Xenopus tropicalis: one gene and its partners. Each later gene encodes a partner of the first gene's protein in a complex. Links are inferred from orthologs where the notes say so. Each region holds a gene or a part of one and is shown in the gene's direction. Other genes may lie near its edges. The genes, in order: ccnc, med16, med25, med24, med7, cdk8 and med4.

What was found.
Region 2: ccnc (region 1) and med16 share a complex: the UniProt entries of both Homo sapiens proteins name them as parts of the mediator complex. The link is inferred for Xenopus tropicalis from reciprocal best matches to the Homo sapiens genes CCNC and MED16.
Region 3: ccnc (region 1) and med25 share a complex: the UniProt entries of both Homo sapiens proteins name them as parts of the mediator complex. The link is inferred for Xenopus tropicalis from reciprocal best matches to the Homo sapiens genes CCNC and MED25.
Region 4: ccnc (region 1) and med24 share a complex: the UniProt entries of both Homo sapiens proteins name them as parts of the mediator complex. The link is inferred for Xenopus tropicalis from reciprocal best matches to the Homo sapiens genes CCNC and MED24.
Region 5: ccnc (region 1) and med7 share a complex: the UniProt entries of both Homo sapiens proteins name them as parts of the mediator complex. The link is inferred for Xenopus tropicalis from reciprocal best matches to the Homo sapiens genes CCNC and MED7.
Region 6: the proteins of ccnc (region 1) and cdk8 are in contact, whole or in part, in a crystal structure (PDB 5CEI), measured with the Homo sapiens proteins. The link is inferred for Xenopus tropicalis from reciprocal best matches to the Homo sapiens genes CCNC and CDK8. Residues at the interface, in NP_005181.2 of Homo sapiens: Met1, Ala2, Gly3, Asn4, Ser8, Ser9, His10, Gln13, Phe72, Tyr76, Lys79, Ser80, Ile81, Asp82, Leu85, Leu93, Lys96, Val97, Glu98, Glu99, Phe100, Gly101, Val102, Tyr130, His134, Leu136, Glu137, Glu139, Phe140, Tyr141; in NP_001251.1 of Homo sapiens: Met1, Asp2, Tyr3, Asp4, Phe5, Lys6, Leu9, Arg13, Gly58, Ile59, Ser60, Met61, Cys64, Arg65, Ile67, Ala68, Leu69, Arg71, Glu72, Leu73, Val84, Leu86, Ser87, His88, Arg91, Lys92, Val93, Asn145, Trp146, Val147.
Region 7: ccnc (region 1) and med4 share a complex: the UniProt entries of both Homo sapiens proteins name them as parts of the mediator complex. The link is inferred for Xenopus tropicalis from reciprocal best matches to the Homo sapiens genes CCNC and MED4.

Annotation. Positions count from the first base shown.
Region 1 is NC_030681.2:82,038,208-82,041,707, forward strand, and holds part of ccnc (cyclin-C), read left to right. Parts: intron 1-2,480; coding exon 2,481-2,516; intron 2,517-3,433; coding exon 3,434-3,500. UniProt on the Homo sapiens protein: Component of the Mediator complex, a coactivator involved in regulated gene transcription of nearly all RNA polymerase II-dependent genes.
Region 2 is NC_030677.2:100,796,234-100,799,733, forward strand, and holds part of med16 (mediator of RNA polymerase II transcription subunit 16), read left to right. Parts: coding exon 1-108; intron 109-868; coding exon 869-974; intron 975-1,107; coding exon 1,108-1,263; intron 1,264-1,355; coding exon 1,356-1,564; intron 1,565-2,121; coding exon 2,122-2,328; intron 2,329-2,805; coding exon 2,806-3,016; intron 3,017-3,325; coding exon 3,326-3,459; intron 3,460-3,500. UniProt on the Homo sapiens protein: Component of the Mediator complex, a coactivator involved in the regulated transcription of nearly all RNA polymerase II-dependent genes.
Region 3 is NC_030683.2:117,444,694-117,447,491, reverse strand, and holds part of med25 (mediator of RNA polymerase II transcription subunit 25), read left to right. Parts: intron 1-73; coding exon 74-157; intron 158-1,012; coding exon 1,013-1,189; intron 1,190-2,798. UniProt on the Homo sapiens protein: Component of the Mediator complex, a coactivator involved in the regulated transcription of nearly all RNA polymerase II-dependent genes.
Region 4 is NC_030678.2:112,526,224-112,529,723, reverse strand, and holds part of med24 (mediator of RNA polymerase II transcription subunit 24), read left to right. Parts: intron 1-469; coding exon 470-507; intron 508-658; coding exon 659-741; intron 742-975; coding exon 976-1,157; intron 1,158-1,242; coding exon 1,243-1,342; intron 1,343-2,339; coding exon 2,340-2,515; intron 2,516-2,628; coding exon 2,629-2,893; intron 2,894-2,975; coding exon 2,976-3,157; intron 3,158-3,336; coding exon 3,337-3,430; intron 3,431-3,500. UniProt on the Homo sapiens protein: Component of the Mediator complex, a coactivator involved in the regulated transcription of nearly all RNA polymerase II-dependent genes.
Region 5 is NC_030679.2:14,184,034-14,187,358, forward strand, and holds med7 (mediator of RNA polymerase II transcription subunit 7), read left to right. Parts: upstream 1-1,457; 5' UTR 1,458-1,488; coding exon 1,489-2,178; 3' UTR 2,179-2,825; downstream 2,826-3,325. UniProt on the Homo sapiens protein: Component of the Mediator complex, a coactivator involved in the regulated transcription of nearly all RNA polymerase II-dependent genes.
Region 6 is NC_030678.2:155,762,677-155,766,176, reverse strand, and holds part of cdk8 (cyclin-dependent kinase 8), read left to right. Parts: intron 1-3,211; coding exon 3,212-3,370; intron 3,371-3,500.
Region 7 is NC_030678.2:134,878,375-134,882,444, reverse strand, and holds the start of med4 (mediator of RNA polymerase II transcription subunit 4), read left to right. Parts: upstream 1-1,270; 5' UTR 1,271-1,271; coding exon 1,272-1,342; intron 1,343-1,412; exon of another isoform or gene 1,413-1,446; coding exon of another isoform or gene 1,447-1,562; intron 1,563-4,070. UniProt on the Homo sapiens protein: Component of the Mediator complex, a coactivator involved in the regulated transcription of nearly all RNA polymerase II-dependent genes.

The DNA of each region.
Region 1 (3,500 bases):
CAGTTGCTTTGAGCCTTCCAATAATGCCAGCAGTGAGTTGGCAGGGACCTTCCTCTATACTTGCCCCCAGTAATCCAATATGACGGTGATTTAGAGCTTCTATTCACCACCAAGAGCCACTAAATTAAAAATAAGACAAGATATGATGTACACTGGACTTGCAAATGTGTGAATCGTTTTGAAATTTCCATATATGCGTGCATACATATGAACTAAAATGTGATCTGCTTTTCGTGCTAGTACTAAAACTAGATCATGAGAACCTAATTAAACATATGAGTGAAAAATAATGCTTGCTCTTTAATTGAGGAGAATAATTCAAAGTTAATTATTTGTGTGGTAAGATTGTGAACCTTTGTTTTCAGTAACTGCTGTACCCACTTGGGCAGCAATAACACACACAACACTCCAAATTAATCAAATAATGTACATTTTTAAACATACTACAGGTATAGGACCCATTATCCAGAATGCTCGGGACCAAGGGTATTCCAGATAAGGGGTCTTTCCGTGATTTGGGTCTCAATACCTTAAGTCTACTAAAAAAAACAATAAAACATTCATTAAACCCAATAGGATTAATTTGCATCCAATAAGGATTAACTATATCAAATACAATCTTAAAAATCTGAATTATTTGATTAAAATGGAGTCTATGGGAGACGGGCTTTCCGTGATTTGGAGCTGTCTGGATAATGGGTTTCCCATACCTGTACTAACATTTCTTATTCATTTGGGTTTGAGAGAACACTTTGGAGTTATTTCTACACAAACATTAATACATGCCCAGTTATATTTTTGTCTGTAATGTATCTTTGTATCTGTTACTGAAATCATCAAAATGATTTGGTCTGAATAAGAAAATGTATGTATGATAACTTTGTATTTCCAAGCCTTTTCAGAATGCTTTTTGTAGCTGCTTGTGAAATGTTTTAGATGTACAGGCATGCTTTTCCATAATGTGTTACAGTTTTGAAATAGCTTTGCCAGTAGAGCACTCCATAGCTTTTAACACTTTTAAATCCTATTATAAAATTTAGATTGCAATAATGGTTTGTGCATAAGGAATACATAATGAGGTGGAATAGTTAGCTTTTTGCTAGGATTATTTTACTAGAGGCTTTTCACAAGTATGAGCTTTTGGGGGACATTAAAGGATTCTTGCAGTTTGTAATGTGTTGCCACATTGTCCATCCCTGATACCCCATTCCTTACATAAATTATTCGATTAACTAAATAGTTGTGGAAAGTAATGGCTGCGAGCCAAATGGACAAGCTGCTTTTTCTACCTACTGTCTCATTCAAATGCACCTAATAGATGGTATTTCCTGCCCTTTCTAGCTTTGCTTTGCCCCAGAACCTTTTTGTATAACCTTAATGGGTCAGCCATGACCGTTTGTGTATTCTGCCTTTATCCATTATAATATTGATAGAATTAACCGTGGGATTGACTTTTTATGGACTGCCAGTTACATATCATGTCTTCATGAATATATTATACTAGCCTGGTTTGTAATGAAATACATTTTTCTAATTTGCAATTTTACTTGTTGCCTGTTATTTATCTAAATGTCACTATGCATTGTGTAAACCCCAATTCTAGGGGCAGATATAAAACTTCTGGTTTATGTTTTATCAACAGTATGCAGCAGCTGCTTTGTATTCAGTTGAATGGCAAGCTGTGTTTGTGACACTCTTGTGCCATATGAGGTGGGATTGCTCAGAAATATGAAAATCAATTTGTACATGGTAGCCACTTGCCAAGACATGTTTCTGGCAGCACCTTTCCCATTAAAGTTAATGAGATGCAAAAGCAGATTTGAATGCAGATCTTTCTGAGGACAGCAGAAATCAAATTCCCTCCAATGACAGAATTTAAAGGAACAGTAACACCAAAAAATGAAAGTGTATAAAAGTAATAACAATATAATGTACTGTTGCCCTGCATTGCTACAACTGGTGTGTTTGCCTCAGAAAGACTACTATAGTTTGTATAAGTTAGCTGCTGTGTAGCCATGGGGGCAGCCATTCAAAGGAGAAAAGGCACAGGTTACTTAGCAGATAACAGATAAATCCCCATTATATGGGGCTTATCTACTAGTTATCTGCTATGTAACCTGTGCCTTTTCTCCTTTTTTCCAGCTTGAATGGGTGCCCCCATGGCTACACAGCAGCTTATTCATATTGTAGCTTTTCTGTAGCAAAAACACCAGTTTCTTTGCAGAGCAACAGCACATTATATTTTAATTACTTTAAAACACTTTAATTTTTTGATGTTACTGTTCCTTTAAGACAATCTTTTGTCTTTCAGCCTACTTGAACTGTAAAGATATAGCAAGCAGCATCTCAGTAGGGTCACATCTGACTGCAAGTCACCCTAACCTCAGGATCTGTTTATGCACAGCTCGTGGATATCTACCTGGTTAGGGGCATTATTTTGTATTCATTGATTAATATCTGAATGATTTTGTTTTTTGCAGATATTGGAATGTGAATTCTACCTATTAGAATTAATGGTGAGTAAAGTGGTTTAATTGTCCATAAAAATATAGGTCTGCTTTCTTGCTCCTCTGTTTTGGTTTTATTCTGAAAGTATAGTTTAGGCAAGTAAAACACTAAGGGGCACATTTACTAACCCACGAACTGGCCAAATGCGTCCGATTGCGTTTTTTTCGTAATGATCGGTATTTTGCGATTTTTTTCGGAACATTTTCGCGACTTTTTCTTTACCAATACGATTTGTGCGAAAAAACGCGAGTTTTTCGTAGACATTCCGAAAGTTGCGCAAAATCTTGCGATTTTTCGTAGCGTTAAAACTTGCGCGAAAAGTCGCAATTTTTTCGTAGTGTTAAAACTTGCGCGAAATATCGCGCCTTTTAAGTTTTAACGCTACGGAAAAGGCGCAACTTTTCGCGCAAGTTTTACCGCTACGAAAAAATCGCAAGATTTTGCGCAACTTTCGGAATGGCTACGAAAAACTCGCGTTTTTTCGCGCAAATCGTATTGGTAAGGAAAAAGTCGTGATAATTTCCGTAAAGTCGCCGAAAAAATCGCAAAAAATACGAAAAAGTCGCAAAATGTTCGTTTTCCAATTGGAATTTTTCCAATTCGAATTTGTGTCTTAGTAAATCAGCCCCTAATACTTCTGTTTTTTTGCATGATATAGTGTGTGGGTTGTTATTTTTAAAAAAAGAAAAGGCAGTGTCTGTTTCTTGATTTACGTTACACTTTAAAAAAAAAAATAAAAAATATTTTTTAATACAGTAAAGACTGTTAAGTCTTTCAGTGCACAGATGGAACAGTCATTACTAGTCTTTACTTGTGCATCTGGAGCACACAATGGATTCAGGGAGGTGTTTGTGAATTGCATATGATTACATGAAGTAAACATTAACATTGCACATTGGGCTAATATTTTATCCCTTGTTTACAGGATTGTTGCTTGATAGTATATCATCCCTATAGACCCTTGCTTCAGTACGTGCAGGACATGGGACAGG
Region 2 (3,500 bases), on another chromosome or scaffold:
GAGATACTTCCTTCTCTCTTTATGCGCTGTACAACTGACCCTGCACGCAAGGACAAGTTCCCAGCTGTGACGCACCTTAAATTCCTTGCGCGGGATATGTCTGAACAGGTGAGAAGAAAAGTTGTTACGGGGTGGGTAAACGTTCGGATTATTTTTTTTTTTTAACTTCAAGCTCCCTGAAATTGCCCACCCGTAGGTGGGGATATCGGGGGAAGATCCACTCGCTTGGTGATTTCGCCAAGCGAGCGGATCTTACCGTGTATGGGGACCTTTAGTTCCCTTAAACCAGAGGGCTTCAGTACATAGTAGGGAGGCTAATTTGAGGGTGAGATTTGGGAGTACATGCTTAGTTGTTGCCCTGAAACTATAGCAGGGTGACTGCTTCGCCAATGTTTCTGTTTATCATTAACTTAGTAATGACCTAAGGGGCCCACCCGTGCTGATTCATTGTGGTTTAAGTTCTTACTATAGGAATATAGGGTAACTATAATAAAAAAAATCTTCATGTATTTGAATTTGAAGGGAACAGCTTAAAGGAGAATACACAAGAGCTGGTATGGGCTGTGAACATGAACTGTAGAGCAGTAGCGCATGTGCACAGCCCAGGGCTGAAGTAAAGACAGCAAAGAAGATAGCAGAGCAGTGCTACTAGACTACTTCCCTAGACTGGTGCATTTTTCAGTGAAAAGGAGCACCAGCCCAGTGTCTGAGGCAAGCAATTATAATCACTGAGGGGTGTCAAATTGGCATCCCTGGTGATTAAACCTTTGCTTGTCGTTTAAAGGCATCAGCATTAAGGACTAAAGGATAAGGATAAATAAATGTTTTGGACACACAGAACTTACAGTGTTTTGTCCATCTGATTTAGGTTTTACTCTGTGCTTCCAATCAGTGTTCCAGCATAGCTGAGTGCTGGTCTCTTCGGAAAGAGGGTCTTCCACTTAATAATATATTCCAGCAGCTATCCCCTGCAGGTAAGTATTTTAATATCTTCCTGTTACTCCTAAACATTTTATCCTCAGTTAGATGCTTCACTTACTCCAAAATGTATCATTGCATAATTTCTCCACATTCCTCTCAAGCCTAAAACACCTTTCACTCTTGCAGTAAGTGACAAGCAGCCCATGATCCTGAAGTGGCGTATCCTCTCAGCCACCAATGAGTTAGAGCGTGTTTCTGCTGTGGCTCTGCCCAAGCTACCAATTTCTCTCACAAATACTGACATCAAGGTTGCAAGTGAAACCAAGTTTTACCCTGGGCTTGGTAAGTTATTACCCACTAGTTTATTTTGATCTGCAAAGAAATTGGATACACTTCTTTTATTTAAGACACTTAATCAATCACTGTTTTTACAGGTCTAGCATTGGCATTCCATGATGGAAATGTTCAGATTGTTCATAGACTTTCCCTGCAGCCAATGGCAGTTTTGTATGGATCATCTCTGCGGCCTTCTGAGGAACCCAGCTTAAAACGGCAGCGTTCGCCTACCCCTTGCATTCATTTTAAAGCTTTGCAGATGTCGTGGACCTCGCTTGCTTTGGTTGGGCTAGATACACAGGGCAAGGTCAGCGTTAAAGATTTTACTGCTAATATTAGGCAGGTCGGAATGACAGTGTTCTGTTTTAAAAAAAAGCCCCAAATAACAATTTTGATGGTATAAAAACAGTAAGGATGGGTCAGGTAGTAGAGTTTGGTGTTAGAGGTTAAATTGATCTACAGTTATCTGTAGCATAAGCATAATCGTAAATATATTTAAAATTCAAAAACGGTGCCTTTATGAATAATACAAAATGATAAGATCAGTTTGCACCTCAGCCATAGATGTATTTAAAACATAACACCAGTGACTGCTGGAGGACCCAGTTGATATTGATAGCTTTCTAGGACACTGAAATAGTTTTTATAAATTTGCAATGTTGAGTGGAGTCTAATTTATGTTTATTATTTTATGGTGCCCAGTAACTTCTAGTTACATCACAGCCTTTTGCTACACTAAAACAAAGACACTGGCATCAAAGAATATGATTAAACTGATATTACAAAAAATCCTGGCCCATATAATCACAGTGAATTTCTTTATGGTGCTGTTGTATTTGTGTGACCTTTGATCTTTCCCCACAGCTAAGTATGCTACGAGTCTCTCCTTCTATGGGGCATTCCTTGGATATGTCAACATCCCTACGTCACCTGCTTTTCTTGTTGGAATACTGCATGGTGACTGGATATGACTGGTGGGATATACTGCTCCATGTTCAGCCTGGCATGGTACATAATTTAGTGGAAAAGTTAAACGAGGAATACACTAGGCAGAATGCGGCACTTCAACAGGTAAATGCCATGCAGAGGTGCAGTGGCCTTATAGATCATAGTGTTTATAGACCACAGATATGGAGATATTATGTGTAGAGATGTTATATTAGTAACATGCACTTACATAAATACTATTTAATTGATCAAAAACCCCTCTGCTGAAACTACCTAGCTTTAATATTAGTTTCATCTACTCTCTTGCTTTTTAAAGTGGACATACATGCCATGACTACACACAGTATTGGAATAATTATACAAGGAACCATACACAATATGACTGCCTCTGTAATGTTCTGTTAGTATATAGGCCTACAGCTCAAATTATTAGAATATCAGGAAGTGAGGAGGAGGTAGCTGCTGCTTTTATAGTGGGAGTAGTCGAAACACAATAATCTGCAGTAGATGGTTCTCTTTCTTTATTAAGATGGGGCTTAAATTAGACATTGCCATTTACTAGAGTACCAATATGTAACATCTCTGATCTTGTCGTGTTAGGTTCTTTCCACTCGGATTCTGGCCATGAAGGCGTCTCTATGTAAGCTGTCTCAAACCACTGTAACTCGTGTCTGTGATTATCATGCAAAGCTCTTCCTCATCTCTATCAGTTGTACCTTAAAATCTCTACTTCGTCCTCATGTTCTCAATACTCCTGACAAGAGTCCTGGAGATCGGCTTACTGAGATCTGCAACAAGTTCACCGATACTGGTGAGTGGCAGGAATAGAAATCCTTTGATGAAATAATCATACACAGGCAGAGAAAAGCTGCTGTCTCCGCTCTTCAGGCAATGTTGATTGCTAATTAGCCCATGTATGGTAGTGACAACCGACCAGAGGTTTAAAAATTTCATTCATACAATGACCACATTTAAATATTGATCATATATTGGTCATTTTCCAACTGATTTCCATAGGCTCCGTTATAATCTGGTTATTGGTTTAGGGCTCAAACATCAGCCCGATCTGACCCACCAAGTATATAATGTATACTTTTGTACATTCTCTCTCTCTACACAGATATAGACAAGGTTATGATTAACTTGAAGACAGAAGAGTTTGTGCTGGACATGCCAACCCTTCAGTCACTTCAGCAGCTTATACAGTGGCTTGGTGATTTTGTACTTTATCTGCTGGCCAGCCTACCAAATCAGGTAAAATTTTTTGATTTTTAGTTGACTGCATTGGCTGGATA
Region 3 (2,798 bases), on another chromosome or scaffold:
TGGTGTTACTTCTTATATATGGGGATAACATGGTTGTAGAAGAGAGAATGATACAATCTGCTCATTTCTCCAGATGCAAGGCCAGCAGGTAGCCCCGGGCATGCCCTCCATTAGCCAAGTCACTATGATGGATGAGCAACAGAGAACACAGAATTTGGTGAGTTTTTCTTTTTCTTGAGATAATCTGTTATTTTACTTTCTATGGATGCAGCAGATAAAAATGCCTGGATTCAGCCAAATACCAAATAGCTCACAGAATATTTTATTTTCTTAAATATTCATCCATTTTAAAAATTGTTTAAAGGGAAACTATACCCTCCTTTTTGACCTGAGCTCATTCGTGTTGGCCTTATGTAGGAAAATGCTTAAATAATGTCTGAACTTTCAGAAATAAATATAATCTGTGCACTACCCACCAAAGCGGGGGGGGACTTCAAGTACCAGAATCCATCACTTCACAATGGAACAAGATAAGGGAGGGGTTGAATTTCGCTGTGAGCACAAGGGGTGGGGACTATAATGGTCTCCTTATTTTATATTTCTGGAAGTTCAGATAGTGTTTTTTTTTTTTTATACTACACATTTTATCCATAAACCCAACTTCGATGAACTCATGTCAAGGGGGGAGTAACCTTTTTTTTTTTCCTTTCTGAAAATATAATAAAGTTTCTGAGTAGAAAATCCTTTTAACATCTGGAGGAGAACCAGATACGTTTTCTCTGATAAACAGATGGTCAGTCTGCAGCCCTAAAGGACTACATGTTCCATGATGGTGCCTGAGCCATCACATGTCTATGCGCTGCTGAGAGTTGTAGTATAACACAACGTTACTGTTGCCGTGCATGGGTGGAAGAACACTTTAGAGCAGTAGCGTCAGACTCCGCTCCGGCTATGAGCTGATGTTCAAATCTTGTTGAGGGGGGTGGGGGGAATGGGACTAAATGAGTGATCATTTATATTAGTGATGATTGCTTGACAATAACACAAGGATGACTATGCTGCTTTCTTCCAGTTACACATCAGAGTACAGCAACCACAGCAAGCAGCCTCTCAGGCACCACCACAAGCCACACAAACCACCGTTCAAGCACCTGGCCAGCCTCAGAACCCACAGCCAGGAGCGATGCTCCGACCACAAAACCCTGGTGCCAACCCACAGCTACGCAACCTCCTCCTGAGCCAGCAGCCTGTAAGTATCCAGGAAACCAGATGGGAATATTTTCCCCCTATAGCTCTTCCAGATAGTAAAGCATTTACCATAACTGGCAATTGGACAGAATGGTGTGGAAATGTAAATTGTAAGCTTAGCTGGGGAAGTGACTGATTTAAGTTGCTCCTTTTAAATTCCACTGCTATATAGAGAAGACTAATCATAGAATGTCCAGCATTGTTGATGTTGGGCTATGGGGGTGAGTGAAACTACTACATTCCCAAGAACAGGCACTGTTGAGCCACAGTGTGACAGGCTGAAAATTCAAATGGCTGATCTGCTTAGGATATTAAGGATACCGTACTGAATCTTTATGTGTAGCTCCTGGAACCTCATCCTAAGGCTAAAACCATGCCCCCTACTCCTGAGTGACAGGCCCCTCCTAATGTTGATATTATATGGTAGGAAGAAATAAAAATAAATATATATTATATTATATGAGCCAGTTTTATTCTTCTACCTAGATACAACACTTAGGGGCACATTTACAAAAGCACGAATGCTCCGAGCGTGTTTTCGGGATTTTTTCGGGCGTCCGCACGACTTTTTTGTACGGCGCACGAAAAAATAGGGAAAGGTTTTACCGCTGTTTGCAATTGTTCGGTACGAAAATTTCGTGACTTTCGGATCGCCAATACGATGTTATCGTGACTAATACGATTTTTTCGTAAGCATTTTCGTGATATTTGCGATCTTCTGAAATTTTCGTTTCCAATGTGATTTTTTCCCATTCAAGATTCGGATTCGTGGATTAGTAAATGTGCCCCTTAGTAATCCCATATCTGCCTTCCAAAATGTACTGGCTATCTCTTAAAGGGGAACTCCACCCAAACACAACTTAAGCTTTTTGAAAAGTAAATATAATTCATCAATTAAAAATGTAGAAAGAGAAGAACTGTTTTGCAGCTGGATTTCAGCAAATAAAATGGTATTTATTCATACTGTTTGAAGGACCAGATTAAAGTGACCGGTATTTTAGGGATTTCTGTGTTGTGTGGGGCTCTTTAACACATTTTTGGTCCGGAAGAGACAACTTGAGACAACACCACCACTGAATTTATAAAAATAGGCGGGAATCACTATTTATTATTATTATTATTATAATAATAATATTAATAATAAATAGTGATTCCCACCTGTGTTGTGTCCTTGTTAATGAAGTTCCCGTTAATGAGGCACAATTTATCCACTGTGTAGTTTGTTACAGTTCAGTAAGTACGTAGTGCATAAAGATATGTACTCCGTCAGTTTTCTATGCTATGAAATTATGAGGTTAGTTGCAGTTCAGTCAATTCATATTGCATATAGATATGCCAGGTTTCCAAAATATATATAAAAATGCATCATCCAGGGAGAGGGAGAGAATCCCCCATGAGTAAATGCCACATGTTCCACAGCTGTTTCCTCACAATAGTGGCAATGGGGGTTATGTTACAAAAGGTGCTACGTTTGCCCATGAGCAGTAACCTATAGCAACCAATCAGCGGGCAGAATTTACTGGTTACCTGTTAAAGGCAAACATCATATTGGTTGCTATGGGTTACTGTGCCTGGCCAAACTTAGTGCTTTTTCTTTCTTGTCTGTAAAA
Region 4 (3,500 bases), on another chromosome or scaffold:
AGATCTAATATACAGTTGCTTTGAATTTGAGAGCAGATAAGCACTACTAGCTCCATGAGCTAGCTCCCTGTAAATTAAACTTATTTTTAACGTGTTGGTGGAGGATGATCTGCAGCCCGGGTGCTCCGGCAGGGGTCGGGTCTGGGCCGGCAGGGCCCATCTGTTTTTTTCCCAGTGCCCCGCCAGCCCAGTCCGACCCTGGAGTTTGGCTGTGTTAGGCTTGCCAGGATTTGCAGGGGAACCCAAGAACCCCTGCTCTATGGACTAACACAGAACAGCAGAATCAATTTTTGTTCTCACAGTGTCTGTAACATACACCAAAAAAGAAAATCCATACAGCAGTTAAGAAGGGAGACACACTTTAATGGTGCACTTGCCTCTTGGGCTTTCTACCTGCTGGATACTGGTCAGTGCCCAATAATACATACTAGCTGTGCCATCTAATCATTTCTTGCTTTTTGTCTTCCAGACTCAATGAATTCACGAGACATATTGGAGTAGAGAGCTGTAAGTGTCTTTCTTTTTCCCTGGTTGCAATCAATAACACCCGTATCCATTAATCTTCCCTTCCATTAACCTTCCAACTCCATTTCCTACACATTGGCTACTTCACTAACTGTAAGTGAATTTGGCCACTGAACTGATTCTGTCTCCTCAGCAAAGGCGGCCAATGTCCGAGCCCTGCTTTTTGATATCTCCTTCCTGATGCTTTGTCATGTGGCACAGACCTATGGCTCAGAGGTAAGGCAGTTTCTGAGTATGTGGCTCCTCAGTTTTTGCTAATTTTGCCCCAGTTGTAGTAAGAAGAGCTCTAGTCACCACCACCATCATCAATGGGTAGCAAGATTATTTACATTAACCCTTGTGCCAGGCATTTGAATGCAGTCAGATCTGAAATGTATTGTGGACCATGGAAGCACATACTGGGATATGGGAAAGATCAACTAAGTCTTATTCATTTACTTTTTTCTGCAGATGATCCTATCTGAGGGATGTCCAAGTGGTGAGATGCCTTTCTTTGAAAGCTGGATGCAAACGTGTATGCCAGGGGAAGGGAGGGTGCTAAATCCAGACCACCCATGCTTTAGACATCCAGATATTGCAAAGGTGGAAGCCCTGGTGGCTCTGCTCAACACATCCACGGAAATGAAGCTGGCGTATGTTATATATAGTTACACAGACTACATTCCCATACATTGTACATGTATTGGTTCTAACTTACATCCTTATTCTGTTACGCAGGCAGACAAAGTGGCATGAAGTGTGCCTGAGTATCCCTGCGGCCATATTGGAAATTCATAATGCCTGGGAGAATGGCGTCTTGTCCTTTGAAGCCATTCAGGTATGAACTGGTGTACATTATATAGAGATATCAGGGATCCCTGCCTCTCTCTACCAAAAGTATAGACAGAAGGGACTTCTTATTCTTTCTTCCTACTACTTCACTGATTTTATGGACCCCTCCCTCACTCATACTCCTAATGTACATATGCCATAGAGCCCTTCCTTTCTTCTGCCATTAATATGCAGATAACAGGGACTTTTTCCACCCTCCTACTCCTAACTTTCAGGCATCAAGGACCCTTACCTCTATGCTACTGCTAATAAACAGACATAAAGGACTTCTACCTACCCCTTCTCCTAATATACAGACATTGAAGATCCCTGCTTCTAATATGCACACTTCAGGGACCCTGTTTACGTGAATGCCATGGCATTTGAATCTTCCTTACTCTTTTTTTCCTAATTCACAGATATCGGAATAAATCTTCTTACCGATATCTAATCCAGCCCTCTTCAGCCTTTCCCCCACTCTGTTCTAACACATGCACACACAGCTAGCAATATTCTTCATTTCCCAGGGTGCCACAGCCATGTGACCTGTGCTTTGATAAACTTCAATCACACTTTGAAAGTTGGCCTGATATCACCCCCCTCTCCGAAGCTGATCAGCAGCACAAAGGGAAGGGAGCAAGATAGCAGCTCCCAGTAGTTATAAGAATAGCACTCAATAGTAAGAAATCCAAGTTCAACTTGGGACTCCTCCAGTTACATGGGAGTAGAAGAAACAATAGGTTACCTGAAGGCAGTTTTAATGTGTAGCGTTGGCTCCTTCTGAAAGCCCAGGCAGAATGCGCAGAGATGGCGTCTACGCATCAGTGTTACAGCTAAAAATACATTTGTTGGTTCAGGAATAAAATGTTGAATGGCAGAGTGAATTATTTGCTATGTAAACAGTATAATTTAGACGTAAAGGGATTCTATTATGATTTTTATGGGGTACTTTTTAAGTGGTACGCCCCACTTCAAGTGTAATGGAGTTACTTTGTGTGCTACAGAAAATCACAGACAACATCAAAGGGAAGGTGTGCAGCCTGGCTGTATGTGCAGTTGCCTGGTTGGTGGCTCATGTCAGAATGCTGGGACTAGACGAGCGAGACAAGTCTCTGCAGATGATCCGCCAGTTAGGATCACCCATGTTTGGGGACAATACTTTGCAGTTCTACAACGAGCGGTAAGTACCCCGAGCTTATGTGCAGTCTTTTTAGAAAGGTGTAAAATATTTTCTTCCATGTGTAATTACAAGTATTTACATTCTGTACTATTGTTTTTCTTCTCTCCTCTTAGAGTCATTATCATGAGCTCTATCCTGGACAATATGTGCGCTGAGGTTCTGCAGCAGACTGCCACTCAGATTAAATTCTCGGCTCCAGGAAGTGAGCCGGTGCCTTACATACATCGCTTGCCCCCTAAGAAGCCCATAAAGGAAGTTCTGAGGGGGGCATTTAGCTCCACCTTAGAAAAGGGATGGGTTGATAGCCGCACCCTACATGTATTTGATACATTGCTTCATATGGGGGGTGTCTACTGGTTCTGCAACAATCTTGTAAAGGTGAGTAAGGGGAGGATGCTGTTGTGAGCAGATGAGGATTCCACTAATTTGCCAAATATAAATACATGGTTTCTCTTCCTAGGAGCTGTTGAGGGAAACACGGTTGGAGTTTGCTTTAAGGGCGGTTGAGCTGCTCTATGCCATCTTCTGTTTGGACATGCAGCAGCTGACGCTCACCCTTCTAGGGCATGTACTGCCATCCCTGCTTACAGATTCTGCCAAATGGCACATGCTGATGGACCCTCCGGGCAGAGCACTGGCAAAGTGAGTGAGCTACACTGGGAAAAATGGTGCAGTAATACAGAAGTGATCTCTTGGATAGACATTGTCCCCTCCCACAGAGCAATGACCGTTCAGTGCCCATGTGGTGCCTGACATTGTGAACCTGTAGGTCACTTTTGTACATTGGAAACTGTATGCAGCTTTGTCCATTCCCTCAACAGGTTATCGGTGTGGTGTGCAATGACCTCCTATTCCACCCAAAACAAGGGCCAGCCATCTCCCCGGCAGAGGAAACGGCATAGAGAAGATATCGAGGTAAATGATTTTTGGATTACACAGATGGAAAATCTGTGTATATGCTATTGAACTGGAAGGAGGCATGTTT
Region 5 (3,325 bases), on another chromosome or scaffold:
TGTGTGTGCAGTATACATATATATATATATATATATATATATATATAATACCTTTCGGTCCACACTCCCATTAAACACACTTACTCCATACTTGATTGCAGGGTGCTGCACCTGGTTGTAGCTTGTATTCATTACAATTGATGATGCGCACTCCTGTATTTTTTTTAGTTCATTTATTGTTACATTATAAAGTTAAAAACATCAACGTTTCGGACCAGGTCTAGGACCTTTATCAAGATGTTAAGCCATAAAAAGTCACACACATAATGAGTCTTTATATAATACAAAATGCCTAACCCCGCCCACATTGAGCAGAGCCCCAACCCCAAATTGTGAATTAAAGAAAACACATCAGTACAATTAATTAATTGTAATAGTGTTTATTAATTGTACTGATATGTTTTCTTTAATTCACAATTTGTGTATTTTATTACATTAACATTTATTTATAAAGCGCCAACATATTCCGCAGCGCTGTACAATAAGTGGGTTACATACATTGGACATACAGAGTAACATATAAAGCAATCAATAACCAATACAAGAGGTGAAGAGAGCCCTGCCCAAAAGAGCTTACAATCTACAAGGAGAAAGGGTTGAGACACAAGGTGTGGGAATGGGCATGGCCAGAGTTGTGAGAGGTGTGGCACAGGGTATTGCTAAACTAGATTAGGGTAAGCCTCTCTAAATAAGTGTGTTTTTAGAGATCTCTTGAAGGCAGAGAGATTGGGAGAAAGTCTGACAGTTTGTGGGAGCGAATTCCAGAGAAGGGGGGCAGCCCTTGCAAAGTCTTGAATGCGAGCGTGTGAGGAGGGAATGAGAGAGGAGTTGAGGAGCAGGTCAGTATGTGCTATACAGGATACCTCGTTTCGTACGATAATCGGTGCGTGTATGGCATGTCGGCGAGTCGACCGATATCGCAGGAATCTGCTGATATCGGCCGACTCGCCGATCGGACCAGTTTGAAAATTTTGATCGGGCGCCATAGAAGGCGCCTGACCAAAATTCTCCCTTCAGAGCTGAATCGGCAGAAGGAGGTAAAAATCCTATTGTTTCTACCTTCTTACCTGCCGATTCAGCCTTGAAAGGTGTGTGGCGGATCTGACAATGTTTCGTGCGACCGATGGTCGTACGAAACATCGTCAGATCGCCACGTGTATGGCCAGCTTAAGGGTTGTGAAATGGGGTTGGGGCTATGCTCAATGTGGGCGGGGTTAGGCATTTTGTATTATATAAAGACTCATTATGTGTGTGACTTTTTATGGCTTAACATCTTGATAAAGGTCCTAGACCTGGACCGAAACGTTGATGTTTTTAACTTTATAATGTAACAATAAATGAACTAAAAAAATACAGGAGTGCGCATCATCAATTGGAATGCATATATATATATATATGTGCTGCACACACAGGGATTTATATTGTTATTTGTATGTAACTGAATGGGCTTTTTCTTTCTGTGTCACAGGTTCTCCTACTCACTTCATAATGGGGGAGCCTCAGCAGGTCAGCGCTTTGCCTATACCTCCCATGCAGTACATTAAGGAGTACACAGATGAAAACATCCGCAAGGGCCTGGCCCCCAAGCCTCCCCTCCCCATAAAGGACAGCTACATGATGTTTGGCAACCAGTTTCAGTGTGATGACCTTATTATCCGCCCTCTGGAAACTCAGGGCATCGAGAGGCTCCACCCCATGCAGTTCGACCATAAGAAGGAGCTGAGGAAGCTCCTTATGTCCATCCTGGTCAACTTTCTGGATATGTTGGACATCCTGATCCGAAGCCCAGGCAGCATCCGAAGGGAGGAGAAACTGGAGGACCTAAAGTTGTTATTTGTTCACATGCACCACCTTATTAATGAGTACAGGCCCCACCAGGCACGTGAGACCCTGCGGGTGATGATGGAGGTGCAGAAACGTCAGCGGCTGGAAACGGCAGAGAGGTTCCAGAAACATCTAGAGCGAGTGGTGGAGATGATCCAGAACTGTCTGGCATCGCTACCCAATGACCTCCCTCTTTCTGATGGCGCAGTCAGTGTAAAAACTGAACCAATGGATGTTCGGGAACCCTGTACGGACCATCATGCGGGGCCCCAGGAGGCAGCAGCAGCTTCTCTGAAAGAGACCACAATTGATAAGGATGCAGCTATGTGTGTTATCATCGATGAAATGACCTAGTCCAATAAGCAGTTCTAATCAGGACTCTTGAACTTTAGAAGTCACAAGGATTCATTGAAATGCAATAGCATGGCTCTATGTGTTGGTTGTATTCATCATGGGACTTGGCAAGGAAAATGTTTGTCCCAAGGGAACTCAGTCACAGCTATTGCTCATGTACATGTCTGTTTATTGTGCTTTTCTGCCATGCTTTTGAAAAGGCAGTATGCAAGAAGGCTAATATTTTTCAGTGTTTTCCCTGCCAGTTCATGTGTATGAGGAATGGAAGGTTGTAGTTCTGCAACACCTGGGTGGTAACTGCTTATTTGTGATTAAACAGACAAAGGACTGGGGTCAGACTTTTGAATGTTATCTAACTGATATACTATGTATGGAATCTACTCATTGCAAGTTATGTTTGTACAGTTATTCACATGTTCTGAGATATCAAAGTTTATTTAAAAGTTAATATTACAATTGTTTGTATCTTTTTCTCTCTGAATTGGAATATTTTAGTCTCAGATTGGTTTGGAGCATGAAAATCCCAAAATGGGTGCTGTTATCTGTTATAGGAGAAGTCCATATTTTGAAATGCTCGCCTTTACAGTTTATCATGTTTATTTACTTTAATATTTGTATTACTGCATTATAGTTTTAACCCTCTGTCACTTCTAGCATCTTTCCTATTAATTATCCACCTCCATTAAGGATGCTGTGTGCATTCACATTACATGCAAGCTTTCTATCTCCCCTGTGTCAGCCTTTGTGACAAAGCAAGGGTTAAATGACTGTGCTTAGGTTGGGATCAAATTCATGAATGGTAGCAATGAATATACATTTTATCATGATAGGAGGATGCTATGCTGCACTGTAAATAACAACACACTGTGAGCACTAAGGTGCAGGGACAAGAGCTGCTATACAGAAACAAAAACATGAGTACCAGGATCTGTGCATTTACAACATTCCATCCTCATTCTGATTGGTAGAATGGATATGTTTAAGTAAGCTCCACCCTGCAGTCTACAGATGCTGGCCAAAATATTTGGAAGGTAAACTTGTTGGCTGCCCCAGCCAGTTGTTATTTTCAGAAGGGTGGTGCTGTGGGCACCTAGGCCTTATTTCCTAAGGAGGTTGGTGAGATTACAGGAATCCCCATCAGTTGCAG
Region 6 (3,500 bases), on another chromosome or scaffold:
CCCCAGATACGCCAGTAAATTGACTGCAGAAATGTAAAATGAGCATATTAAGCCCAAACATGCCAGTAAGATCAAAGCAGAAATGGACAGTGGTCCTTTTGTTAACCCCAGACGTGCCAGAAAGACCACGCCAGACAATGGATGAGCATGTTAACACCAGATATCCTTCCAGTTTATCTGAGAGTGTAACTTGAATAATGAGCCAGACCATGAGTATCCAAATGCAGACTTAAATATCCGTACATGTACAGGACCTGTTATCCAGGATGGCCGGGACCTGAGGTTTTCCAGATAAAGGGGTATTTCTGTAATTTGGATCTCCATATCTTAAGTCTACTAAAAATTATTTAAACATTAAATAAACCCAAAAGGATTGTTTTGTCACCAGTAAGGATTGATTATATCTTAGTTGGGATCAAGTTAGTGCTGGGCGGTATACCGGTAAAAACCGATCACCGTTTTTTTTTTTGAAACCAATATGAATTTTCTACATACCCCCATACCGGTGTGCTGAATACTTCCGGGTGCGCACGTGATGTCAGCGCGCACGTGATGTCAGCGCGCACGTGATGTCAGCGCGCACGTGATGTCAGCGCGCACGTGACGTCAGCGCGCACACTCTACAAAAGCGCCATCGCTAGAACGCATTCAGAGTCGGATACCAATGTGAGCTGTTGGGGGGTGCCTGGCCAGTAATTATATTTTATGTGAAGGGGATGGGTGGGGTGGGTGGGTTATACTTATGTGAAGGGGATGGGGTTGTGTTTGGGGGGGTGGGATGGGGTGGGGTGGGGGGTTATATTTATGTGAAGGGGATGCGGGGGTGTTTGGGGTGGGGGTGGGTGGGTGGGTTATACTTATGTGAAGGGGATGGGGTTGTGTTTGGGGGGGTGGGATGGGGTGGGGGGTTATATTTATGTGAAGGGGATGGGGGGGTGTTTGGGGTGGGGGTGGGGGGGTTATACTTATGTGAAGGGGATGGGGTTGTGTTTGGGGGGGGTGGGGGGTTATATTTATGTGAAGGGGATGGGGGGGTGTTTGGGGTGGGGTGGGGGGTGTGTGTGCGGATGGGGGGGTGTTTGGGGTGGGGGGGTGCGTGCGGATGGGGGGGTGTTTGGGGTGGGGGGGTGCGTGCGGATGGGGGGGTGGGGGGGCTGCGTGCGGATGGGGGGGTGTTTGGGGTGGTCACCTAATCATGCATGGGGGAAAAAAAATACCGTCAAATACCGTGATACCGATATAATTTTGAAAAATACTGTGATATAAATTTTTGGTCATACCGCCCAGCACTAGATCAAGTACAGGTACTGTTTTATTATTACAGAGAAAAGGGAATAATTTAACCATGAAATAAACCCAATATGATTGTTCTGCCCCCAATAAGGGGTAATTATATCTTAGTTGGGATCATGTACAGGTACTGTTTTATTATTACAGAGAAAAGGGAATCATTTAACCATGAAATAAACCCAATATGATTGTTCTGCCCCCAATAAGGGGTAATTATATCTTAGTTGGGATCATGTACAAGGTACTGTTTTATTATTACAGAAGAAAGGAAATCATTCTTAAAAATGTGAATTTTAATTAAAATGGAGTCTATGGGAGATGGCCTTCCTGTAATTTGGAGCTTTTTGGATTAAGGGTTTCCAGATAACAGATCCTGTACCTTTTATATAACATTGCTTGTCCAGCCATTAGGAGCACAGGGTTGAGAATACATTGATTTTTTTCCCCCTCTAAAGCCTCACAGAATGACTGGATTCAGAGCAATTAATGGCCTGCACCGCTAGCCCTGTGACTAATATGAGCCAATTAAAAAAAACCACACCTCACAACTTCCCTCGGGTTGTACCTGGGGGGGCGGGTATACATGGTTTAGTTACGTACCTAATCAATAGATTACTTTTACACATGGTAAGGGAAACAATTTCTTCACAAGGGATCAATTCCAGACAATAATATTCCCTGTAGCGGACAGTTGAGGTGTCTGTAATGAACCCATTTAATCACTCTGGGAACAATAACTGCACAGGTAATTAATCTCTGAGAAATCCTTCCTCCACATCTGCAGTAGATGTTCTACACACATCTAATTACTTTAAAGTACCCTGTAGGGGTAGGTAATGAATGGCACCATCAGCGGTGTAGCTATAGAGAAAGCAGGCTCCGTTTTGGTTTTTGATGGTGCAGTCAATGACTGGGTCCCCTACAGAATTACTCCCTGTATCTGGCTAAAGGAGTCTTTGCATGGAGGTGCCACCCCAGTGAGCTTGGATTATCTGGAGGTTTCCTATGAACACACACATAACATGCAATAGCACAGGAGTTAGGGAATATTGCTGCGCAATACTAGGGCCAATTGTACCCCAAACCTTGGGAGGGATGGCCTCTTTTTAGCACACACTAAAATGGTTGTTACAAGGAGTTATACTAACCCTTTAATGCATACATAGGGAGCCAGCCCTTTATGTTAACCTTTTGCATTGTATAATTGTCTGTGCTACCCAATATCTATATACAAATAGCACAATAGTTCTAAATATAGTTGTACTTGAATATAGTGTTTGTTCTTTTTCTGTTTGCAAGTACCGACTCTTTTGTTCTCCGCAAGTTTGTTATGCGGCTGTTTCAGTCTGCTAAAAATGTTTAATGAATGTTTATTGGAAAGTTGCTCTTATTTACACTATGCACAAATAAAAACAATTTTTGGGTGGACTTTTTTTTATAATATATGAGATATATATATATATATATATATATATATATATATATATATATATATATATATATATATATATATATATATATATATATATATATATATATATATATATAGCGAACCCAGGGTGGCACTCTGCTTCAGCTCTTAGCTCGGGTGCAAGGTAAATGATTTAAATATCCAAAAAAGACCAGCAACACCGAGTTATGTTCCAAAAACAATCAATTGTGTATTAAAAACACATGAACAGAACATGGCTGTTCATGCGTTTTTAATACACAATTGATTGTTTTTGGAACATAACTCTGTGTTGCTGGTCTTTTTTGGATATATATATATATATATATATATATATATATGGGCTGGGGCCACCAGTGACATTACAAAATATAATATTTTAGGCCAATTCTTGATATTTTCAAAACTATTTTTTCCAGTTTTCCTTTGGATGTTCCTTTAAACCTTGTTTATCTTTTTTAATCCTTAAAGAAAAACCAACAGCAGCAGCAAGGCAATAACCATACTAATGGAACCGGTCACCCAGGAAACCAAGATAACAGTCACGCACAAGGGCCACCTTTAAAGAAAGTGAGAGTTGTACCCCCTACCACTACCTCAGGTGGGCTCATAATGACCTCAGACTATCAGGTAACATGCCTTTGTGTCTCACTTCTCTCTATCCCTCATACCCCTTTACATAGGATTGCACAAACAGAACCACTGTGGGACTGTATAGCCACTTTACTGCAGCACCTATTTGCATGGGGGCCGCTGTGCT
Region 7 (4,070 bases), on another chromosome or scaffold:
TTTGCTGTGAACAGACAACATGTGGTCAAAGGAGCTCTCCGTGCCAGTGAAAGAATCCATCCTTAAGCTGCGAAAACAGAAAAAACCCATCCGAGAAATTGTTACAATATTAGGAGTGGCAAAATCTACAGTTTGGTACATCCTGAGAAAGAACGCAACCATTGGTGAAAAAAAGACCTGGACAAAAAGACCTGGACGTCCACAGAAAACAACAGTGGTGGATGACCGTAGAATCATTTCCAGGGTGAAGAGAAACCCCTTCACAACATCCAACCAGGTGAACAACACTCTCCAGGGGGTAGGTGTATCGATATCCAAGTCTGCCATAAAGAGAAGACTGCATGAAAGTGAATACAGAGGGTGCACTGCAGGTGCATGCCTCTCCTAAGCCTCAAGAATAGAAAGGCTAGATTGGATTTTGCTAAAGAACATCTAAAAAAGCACAGTTCTGAAAAAACATTCTTTGGACAGATGAAACCAAGATCAAATTATACCAGAATGATGGCAATAAAAAAGTATGGAGAAGGCGTGGAACAGCTCATTATCCAAAGCATACCTCATCATATGTAAAACAAGGTGGAGGCAGTGTGATGGCTTGGGCGTGCACGTCTGTCGGTGGCACTGGGACACTAGTGTTTATTGATGATGTGAAACAGGACAGAAGCAGACAAATGAATTCTGAGGTGTTCAGAGACATTTTGGTGAAAAGGGTGAAATTGCCCTTTAAGCTGCCAGTCTCAGTTCCCCTAAGAGACAAATGTGTGAATTTGTATTCTCCTGAATCTCATGGAAGAAATGCTCACGTTTTGTTTACCAGTGCATTAAATAGTACTTTTGTTTGTTAAGGGGACCGCACTGTGCCATCCATGAAATGCTGGAAAACAAGAAATGTGAGTGTCCCAATATGTCCTGCCACCATGTCTAGACATGCTTTGGCCAAATGCTGTGATCATGGCCGTTTGTTTGGCTGAGGACCATGAGTAGGTTTGTGAATGGCACCAATGTGAATATGACTGAAAGCTCATCACCAGGTGAGGGGGGGGGGTTCTCCAGCCTCCACCCATAGGCCCCAGTTCAGTGAATTTGCCGCAGCCGACATCTACATCACTGCCCAACTGGCATTTGCTAGTTATGTGAGTAGGATCGCTAAGTTCCATTAAATTACTCTAGATGGCGCTGTGAAAAACGTCTGCGCTTTTCGACAGATACTTGTTTCTCTTGATTCCTTCCCGGAACTGCTCGTTAGCCCCGCCTCTCTTCCATCCGCAGACATGGCTGTTCCGGAGAAGAGCACGAAGGAAAGGCTGATGTCTTTCCTGGACGACTTGGAAGTGCTGTCTAGGTGAGGGCGTTATGCGACACGGGCATTTTATTTCTCGGGACTGCACCTAATACTTTGGAGCCAATATTGTTTCTTGCGTGGCTTTCCAGCAGCTGCAGAGCCAAATGCTTGGCACCTTACGAGCAATGAAGTTCGGAATTCCACTGTGCGGGATTCTTTGTTATAATAGCGCTGTGCGCTTACAGAGCGTTGCCCTATTATCTGGCCACCTAAAAGCCCTGTAAGTTGGGGTTTGTCCTTCCTGCTGTTCTTACTGCACAGTGGGCCAGAATAATATCTGTAAAGGGCCCCGGTTGATGTATAACGGTGGGTGGGGACAGGCCATCCCATGGGGAATAGCAGTGGCGCACAGTGATACATATGGATGTGGTTTGGCGCATGAATACTTGTCTGATCTTCCTTCAGGTTTCTTTTAGGGTGGCACCACCCCTGGTTTCCGACTGTTTTATTAGAGCCCCTTGCTCCTCAAGGTGCTGAGGAATTGCCTTCTTCAAACCCCCCTTTCCTTTAGTCAAATGGCAAAGTAAGACCTGTTGCTATTGCTTCAGCGTTATATCAGTCATTGTGGGAAACATGGGATACACTGTAATGCACCACAAGGAAAAATGACACTTTATAAAAAATACATTGACTCATGTTGCAATTCTGTCATTGTATGGTAAGCTACACAGCAGTTTGGTGTACACTAGCTCCACTGCGCTACTCTGTGTTTTTGGAAAAGCAGACAGGGCTGTATTAGAAGAGTTCATTGATGTGGTACAGGAAGGGGGAGTGTGGCTCTTCAGGGCAACTACATTTTATACTTGGCTATTGAACTCTTTTAAAGGAGAAGTAAAAGTATATTCACCGGGGGTGCCAAAATTGTAGGCACCCTGATGTTATTATAATGTATGTATGTATATCTTTATTTACATTAATACAAACGGGGTTATTAAGATAATAACAGAAATTCAAAGGATAACAATATATACAAATAAATACAAGATACAGTTGCAATAAGTTAAGAGCCAAAGACACAAAAGTATGGAGGTCCCTGCCCCGTAGAGCTTACTATCTATATAGGAGGGTATTTTTAACTATAAGTGCTGTAGGTTACAGTGGGTGACAATATAAGTGCTAGTTCCCAGATCAGGTGCTGGGTGAGTGCTCCAAGAGGTAGTCTTTAAATTTATCTTTGAAAAGACTGGGGGAGGATTCTCTCCCGAGGAAATCAGGGAGGGCATTCCAAATGTAAGGAGCAGCAAGGCAGAAAGGTTTAAGGCAGGAAACTGCAGTAGTAGTGGGGGGTGCAACAAAGCGGTTGCTCTGCGAGCAATGAAGGAGTCGGCCAGGAACGTAGGGAGACACAAGAGAAGAGATGTAGTAAGGAGCAGAGGAATTGAGGGTTAAGAGAAGGAGTTTGTAAGATATTCTTTGTTTAATAGGAAGCCACGATAAGGACTTTAGCAGGGGAAGGGCCTGAACTCTCCTGGATGAGAGGAGGAGAATTCTGGCAGCAGTATTTAAAGGAAAAAGAAAGTCAAAGTCACCAAAATGTTAGGCACTCCCAAGTGACTTTGACCACCTACCTTTTACCCCGGGCTGGTGCCCCTGTGAGGAGGGAACAGCACCAGCCCGGGGTAGCTGCCGGCGCTTCCTTCTTCCTGATTCGCTGCGCGCGCATGCGCAGTAGAGTGAAAAGCTGAACTTAAACATTAAAGTCGGCTTTTCACTCTACTGCGCATGCGCCCACCGCTGGCATTTCAGCAACGGAAGCAGGAAGAAGGAAGCGATCCGCTCCAGGTACCCCGGGCTGGTGCTGTTTTCTTCTAACAGGGGCACCAGCCCGGGGTACGAGGTAAGCAGTTAAAGTCACTTGGGGGTGCCTTACATTTTGGCACCCCCAAGTGATTTTGCCTTTCGTTTTCCTTTAATATAGACCAGACCCAACCTTTCTTACTCGTGAGCCACAGTCAAATGTAAAAAGACTTGGAGAGCAACACAATTAAAAAAAATAACTACCTGCTTTGGGGGCACTGAGAGCAACATCCAAGAGGTTGGTGAGCAACATGTTGCCCCTGAGCCACTGGTTGGGGATCACTGATATAGACTATAGGGGGAAAGATGGGAGTTAGGGAGGTGGTTAGTAGCAGGTTACAGTAGTCAAGTCGGGATAGGATGAGAGCATGCATGAGCAGCTTAGCTGTTGCAGTAGTAATTGCTTACCTGAGGCCTGGGGTTCTTCTGTAGGAGCTTATTTGTTGCCACCTTATTTTGCTTCATACTTCTCTTGAGCCCTGGTTTGGGTGCGCATACATGGCAGAGTGAAAAGCTCAGTGAAACAACAAAACAGCTTGTCACTGTACTGTGCATGTGCACTGGCCAGGGGCCAACAAGAAGGACGAAGAAATGGAAGATGATGATGTGGTGCTCCTACAGATATCAGACCTCAGGCCAGAACAGTTTTTCACACACAGGAGCACCAGCCCATGGTATCAGGCAAGTGATTATCATCACTGGGTGCTGCTTAACATTTGGCACCCCCAGTGATTTTTAACTTTCATTCTTCTTTAAGCTATCATTTGACACAGGAAACCACAATTTTGGAAGTCAAATATTTTGTCTGGCTGTTAGATCCTCTTATATTTGGGGTCTTTTTATGACTGGAAACTGGCAGGTTTACCCCTGGTTTCTTCCCCTATTTTGGACATGAAGTCATTTAGTTGGGTTATGTAAAAAATGTGCATAA